Linked DNA regions of Nothobranchius furzeri. The protein of the gene in region 1 purifies or fractionates together with the protein of each later gene. This does not show direct contact. Links are inferred from orthologs where the notes say so. Each region holds a gene or a part of one and is shown in the gene's direction. Other genes may lie near its edges.

Region 1 (3,186 bases):
TATCAGCGTCATTAGGAATGCGTTGTGGGTGCACTGCAACCACTTATCCATGCAGTGTGTGAAAGACGACGAGGTAGGCGTGCCTCATTTTCCTACAGATGTAATGAAACAGTCATCAGCAGCCATATTTCCTCTGGTCAAACTGGTCCCTCAGTGTTACGAGAGCGTGAGGACAACGCTTGAAAGCTGTGACATCATCACAGACAACAACCACTTTGTGGAGGGCAGGAAGACTAGTTCAACCCCCCCAGGTATGCATCACCTGCAACTTTCCTCTGGTGATTTGAATATGTTCCATGTCGAGAGATAATTTAATTGTTATCACGCAGCTGTGGAGGCATAACTTTTTTTTTATCCCCTCACAGCTCCAATTGAATACCAGAATTACTATGATAACGATGCAGCAGACTCAAACGGCAGCGCTGGATTTATAGAAGGAGTCAAGAAAAGGTTCACAAACATTATAGAAAATTTACTTGATTTTTGTTTTTACATTTTTCACTCATTGATCATGTGTTTTAACCATTAGGTTTTCAAGTCTCCTGACAGGAAGTAATACCTTTGGCTCCAAACTCAACATCAATGAGCCTGTTGCACAACCTGCAGGTTAGGTACCAAATTTATTCAAGTTACACTGCAGATTTGGACCCAGACACCTACAAGATTGTAATCTCTGACAAAAAAAAGGTGTAGCAACATCACGTTACAGAACCAAAAGATGAAGTTCATAATAAATATGCAAATCTGAGCTAACAGACTTTTATATTCAATACGATTTAAATTTGCATTCACATATTTTGTGATTAGCTTACAACTCCTGAACAGAAAACCATTATAAATGGTGTTAGTCAAAAAGTATTTAGCGAGTAGACAAAGTACTAGTCAAATGTCCCAGACAGTACTTTGTTGGAATCTTTTGTTAGTAGTCTTGAATCAATCGTTTCTAAACTTTTAGTGTCTTTCAAAGTTTTCTTGGACTATTTGTTGCTTTTTTTTTTTACTCTTTAGTGTTTAAATATTGTCAGGATAGCACTTTTCCTCCTCTTACATACACACACACATTGGCTTTATGATTAGAAGTTCCAGGTCAGTTAGATGCCAAGTGATATTAAAGAGCAAGTCACTCCCTACCAGAGTCTAACTCCACTCCCATTTCCTGTTTGAAAAATGTGCCACATGGAGGAGTTGCCTGGCAGACCGAGAGGGAGGTGCTGCTAACAAATGTACACACACACACAGAGGCTCAAACCAGCATTATGACATCATATGGTACCAGCTAACATCATAGGGTACCTCTTAGCCGATAGCGATGGCAGATTTAAATTCAAATATAGTGCAGACCACAGAAATTTTTGTAACTCTACTCTATTCGAGTATGAAGTTATAGCCATTTATATTTTTTTGGCGAGTAGTCGAAATTCGAGGCCTGGCCACACCCCTCAGCATATACGAAAAGTCAGTTTTATTTTTTCTATTTGATCGCCCATCCCTTCTGAGCAATTTCCCACAACTTTTGAGACGATCGTGCGAAAAATGATCAAGTAAATCAATCAGAAGCGGACTCTAGAAACTGCCAAAACGGGGTCAAAATCACCACTTCAAACCAAAATGGCCGACTTCCTGTTTGATGTTGACCATGGTTGCAAGAGGCTTTTCTGTGCGGACTGCTGAGTACTACAAATGTACAAAATTTCATAACTGTACGATAAACTAAGCTTTATGGAGGGGGGTATTTTTCACATTCTAGGGGGCGCTGTGGAGCTAGTTTTATTGCGATTTTTTGGGGGACCTTTAAAATACAAAATTTTACACCATGCCTGACAGGTGTGCAAAAATTCCTGAGTTTTCGCTTATGTTACGGCCTCCACAAAGCCAGTTTACTTGGCGGAAGAAAAATAAACAGAGCAGATACAATACAGACCTTCGCAGCGCTTTCGCTGCTCGGGCCTAAAAATGCTTGTTTCACAAAAAGACTGATGTGTGATCTATTGTTCTATATCGAATTGTGTCCTCAGCACAAACCTCAGAAGGCGTTTACGCATCCATTCCTGGACTACAGGTGACCCAGGCCAGCAGTGATGAGTACAAAGCCCTGTACGACTACATAGCTCAGGTATGATTCTTCACACAGATTAGATCTTTTCAGACCTAACATGCTTCATGTTTGGTAAGAAACGTCATTGACATGGCTGTTTTGTGTCCCCGGTTAGGGAGAAGATGAGCTCTCTATATGTGTTGGTGATGTTGTGGTTGTTAAGGAAAAGGGCGAGGATGGCTGGTGGATGGTAGAACGAAACGGCATTTCTGGATTGGTTCCTGGTTCTTATCTCGTCCAAGAATAAGTTAGCCTTCTTGCAAGGATAACTCCCATTTCCACACATTTAAGTTATATAAATCTTGTCACCTCAATTTAGGAATCATTTATAAACTGAAGCCCCTGTGATGAGGATATGGCAATATTCCATTTATCAACATTCCTCAAACTTCTAGAAGATTTATTAACCTCCTGAACACGATTATTGCACTAAAATGTATTTAAGCTTTATTTTGTATATTTTATGGTTTGTATTAAAAAACTCAACATAATTTGCAGATAAGTTGTGCTACTGTTTGTTTTCTGAAATGCTTATGAAGTGGTTTTACAACTTTGTACAGAATGAAAAATTCTTATTAGTATGCAAAAGAAAAGTTTGATTATTTATTATTATGACTGGTCTGCTGCAGCAAAAGATATTTAGAAAGTGGAATATAAGAAGAATGCATCAGACCTTATTCTTAGGTCATGCAGCTGATGCATGGTTGAATTTGGTGTCTGGTTACCCTGCAGGGGGGCGAATGGCATTGGGTGCTACACTATAACCACACTGGTCATTTCCTGTCAAACGTTCACAAAGGTTGCCAAGAAATCAAATATACATATGGGTTTAGAGCGAGTTCCAGCTCACAAACATTGCATGGACTTTTTTTTTTTGACATTTAAATAATCTGACCTGATAATTCAATTCAAAGATACTTTATTAATCCCAGAGGGAAATTAGTGTTTCAGTACACACAATTCTGAGATCAGACACACATACATACATAGGCATGACACATGACAAGAATTGGTGACTGTGGTCATTCGCAACCCGAGTCGCGCTACCTTAACAGAGACCAGAGGGTTTATATATGAAGATTTAAAATGGC
Region 2 (3,756 bases), on another chromosome or scaffold:
CCTGCAAACAAACCCCACCGGTCAGCCGAGTTCTCATCCGGGGTTTGGTGATTTACGACGAAGGACAACAGTGAAGAGCCTCGCCCAAAGGAAGAGCTTTCCTGATGGGTGCTGTGCGTTGACTGAATGCACCGCTCAGAGCAAGGATGCTGGTGGGGCCGTGAAGCAGGAGGACAAACGAGAACCAAAGCAGAAGTCCGGTTTCAGGAGCCGGGTGGAAAAACGGAGCCACTATCATTTACTTCCATAATACGTCATATAAGTTTTTGTTCATTAACTTTTACTAAACAAACATTCATTATAGGTTGTTCATTCTGTTAGTTTTTTATGTACAAGATTCTGGTAAGATGTTGCTCGGGTAACAACGAGGAGCTGATGGTCGGCATCGCCACGGAGGAACTTTATTTCACCTAAAGACAACTTTCTGTGTGATGAAACTCATTTAATGTGTTTTTATGTCTCCTGACGACTGACAGGCGGCTCTGTACAAGGTCATGATTTAGGTACCGATGCAACCCGGTGCAATATGTAGGAGATTATGCTGCTGTTGTCGACGGTCAGTCAGAGGGTTACTGATAGTTGTGTGACTCTGAAAGGTGGTTCACACAAGTGAAAAACTGTTTTCTGTTCGTCTCCAACCCACAAACCAAAGAGTATTTAACTGTTACGTTAAGAGAGAGAATGCATTGTTTTCCTGTCACATTCAGCTGTTCGATCAGTTAAATTCAACACCCAGACTGTTTCATCATTTCCTGCATTTACAATTCAGTTGCTTTTAATTGTTTTTATTGTACGACTGGACCAAACACCTTTGTTCCAGAGCCTGCGCGTTTTAAAAATGTATTTAAATGTTGTTTGTCAATAAAAAAAAGTCTCTTCTTTGTACTTCCTGTACATCTGATGCTGATTATTTATGCATGTAAACTCTGAGCTGGAGGGAAGCAGCAGTGCCCTGCCTCTGTCTGAACATGGAAGTGACACGTTCACGTCAGAGTGAGAGAAGACAAGTGGGGGTTAGAGAAGTGTGGCTGTCTGCTTCCTGCTTCGAGCTGATGCTCGCTCAGAACAGAGAAGAGAAACTTCCTGGATCGTAGAGAATATTCCGACCGCTGTCCTCTTCGTTTTAGACTTTTGATGCCGTTACATGTTGGTTTGTGAGAGGCGTCATGAGTCGTGGAGCTAAGAGTAAAACAGAGAGCGATCGAAGCTCTTTGCTGAGCCAACAGGAGAATGACATGTTGGAGGAGCTGCTGGGCAGAAGGTGTGCTGTAAGTTCTGAACCGGGAGGAAATAACCCACCGTTCAATTTATTATTCATCACTTCTGCTGCTAAACAAAACTAACGCATTCCGATTGCCTGCCTATATGTTAGATTTCCTCCTCTTTGAGCCGCTAAAACGTCACATGCTGAAGAGGCAGGCGTTAGCTGAGGCCTGTCTCCTAAAACATCATCCTTTTGAGTTGGGAACTGAAAGATCCTTTCTGTAAGCAGCTGTGAGTGATGTTAAGTTATTTGCTGTTGGGTCACCATGACGGAGGCAGCTGTAACAGGAAATGCTGGCTGGCTGGATTCTTCCTCTCCTGTCAGATGTAGACGCCATGGCTGGTTTGGTCTGACAGCAGAGCAGAAGTTTAGTTTTTGACTTCATTCGTCCGTAGGAGTAAGCTGGCAGAGCCGTGAGACATCAGACGTGTGTCAGGTGTAATCCGGAGAAGACAGAGAGCCTTTTGAGCTCTTATCACAAAAATGAGAGCAGAGGAGGAAGTTATCCACCAGCAACGAGCAAATTTACATGTCAACTGGGTGTGTGTGTGTGTGTGTGCGTGCGTGTGCGTGTGTGTGTGTGCGTGTGTGTGTTTAGTCCACAGCCACCGCTGTAGCACAGCTGTTCATGGCTCTGCCACACAGCCCGTCCACATGGAGCCTGCAGCACACCGGAGTGGTCTGCTTCGTCAAAGACAACCCTCAGCGCTCCTACTTCATCCGGATGTTCGATTTGAAGGTCAAATAAAGAATCTATGAGCTCATCCTCTCTAGGTTTTGTGACTGACGTCTCCGTTGGAGAAGCTGTGACTCAGATGTGACGGGAGTTAGTGAGGGGCAGACGCGCTGACCAGGCACTTTTTTCCACAGGCAGGGAAACGGGTTTGGGAGCAGGAGCTGTACGACCAGATGGCTTACTTCACGCCTCTGCAATACTTTCACACCTTTCCTGCAGATGTAAGCGCGCACTAATCACACAAGGCAATAACTGTGTCAGTATGAAATTGTGAGTGTGTGTTTGGGTGAGTTAACAGGACTGCCAGGTGGGCCTGAACTTCACGGACCAACAGGAGGCAGACGCCTTCCAGCATGCTGTCGTGGAGAAAATCAACCAGCGGAACAGCCGGATGGGTCAGCACGCTCCTGCTCCTCTCACTACAGAGCTTTAACCCTCCGGAGGCAGGCGTTGCAGATTAGCAACGTTAAAACCTACCGACCTGGTTTCTCCACATACGTGTTTCATGAGCATGTTTTAACTCAGGAGCACCCCTGAAGGACTTAGTTGTTCGTCCTTTTATCATAACTTACTTTGAGCCTGAGAGGGTTAAGCAGACGTTTAGAAGGACACGCTTCCATGTTTATATTTAGAACAGGTTTGGGTTATGGGCTCGGCTGTAGCACCCTACATCAATAGTAGTCAACGGGGGCGGATCTTCAGGGGGGAACATTGTTGTAAAGCCTTGCCTTCCTCTGCTGCCTCCCTACTTCTATGTCCTAAACGGTGTATTCACATCTGGGTCGGCCCGGTCCATCCCTGGCAGGGTAATTGTGTTCACATCGGGGTAATCTGTGTGTTTTCTGTGCTCAGCCGACCATTTTTTCCAGATCTCATCTCCAGCGGACAGCTTGGCACTGACAACACATCCACTTCGGACCGACTGGGTGGCCAAAGTTCATGTCTGCCTACAGAGAAAGCCTTTGATTGGCAAGCAGAATCAGCCAGTGCTGGCTTCCTGCATACATGATTCATAATCATTCTGGATGCAGTGGAGTAAACATCTCCTCCGACTGCAGCTCACACCTGCCGTGGGAGCACAAAGCCAGACAGCTGTGAGGAGCGCGTGGCGGTCTCAGTGAGACAGTAGGAAGCTGTGTGCTTCATGTCAGAGTCTCTCAAAGCAACGCAACTCTCAGCCACCTTTGTTTACTAATTGAAAAAAGGACACCGTGGACTTCTCCATGCATCTTTTGCCCCGCCTACATGCTCGGAGACGTCTACGTTCCTGAGAAGGCTGTGCAAACAAAACCTGGCCATGGTGGGATGGGCCAACCCAGCCAGGACCCAACCGGGCTGGGCCAGATGTGAAAATGCCACGAGTGATGGCAGAATCAGTCCAGCAGGGGCGGATTAAGAACTGAAGAACATCCGGGGCTTAACACACGCACACACGCGCGCGAACACACGCGCGCGCGCGCACACACACACACACACACACACACACACACACACACACACACACACACACACACACACACACACACGCACACACACACACACAAGTGACACGCACTAGTCAACATCATATATATTTGTCTTGTACCACATCATTTTTAATCTGAAGCTACATATTAAGCATTTTCAGGGCAGAGTATTGTTCCTGTTAGTGTTTAGTGTGAGATGATAGTAAATATTACCTTTCTTTCTCCAACAACTTTACCTGATAAGCTAACTTTAGGCAAACCAGCAGCACAACAAATATTTTCTAATAAGA

The links. Proteins that work in one complex are often made in the same cells at the same time.
Region 2: the proteins of pstpip1a (region 1) and wasb purify together in Homo sapiens (affinity purification with western blotting; 3 studies listed by BioGRID and IntAct, with this or other methods). This does not show direct contact. The link is inferred for Nothobranchius furzeri from reciprocal best matches to the Homo sapiens genes PSTPIP1 and WAS.

Annotation. Positions count from the first base shown.
Region 1 is NC_091744.1:68,460,821-68,464,006, forward strand, and holds the end of pstpip1a (proline-serine-threonine phosphatase-interacting protein 1a), read left to right. Parts: coding exon 1-73; intron 74-154; coding exon 155-251; intron 252-365; coding exon 366-450; intron 451-529; coding exon 530-606; intron 607-2,015; coding exon 2,016-2,113; intron 2,114-2,210; coding exon 2,211-2,342; 3' UTR 2,343-2,592; downstream 2,593-3,186. UniProt on the Homo sapiens protein: Involved in regulation of the actin cytoskeleton. May regulate WAS actin-bundling activity. Bridges the interaction between ABL1 and PTPN18 leading to ABL1 dephosphorylation.
Region 2 is NC_091755.1:42,288,379-42,292,134, reverse strand, and holds the start of wasb (WASP actin nucleation promoting factor b), read left to right. Parts: upstream 1-1,030; 5' UTR 1,031-1,166; coding exon 1,167-1,268; intron 1,269-1,862; coding exon 1,863-2,003; intron 2,004-2,134; coding exon 2,135-2,221; intron 2,222-2,298; coding exon 2,299-2,395; intron 2,396-3,756. UniProt on the Homo sapiens protein: Effector protein for Rho-type GTPases that regulates actin filament reorganization via its interaction with the Arp2/3 complex. Important for efficient actin polymerization. Possible regulator of lymphocyte and platelet function.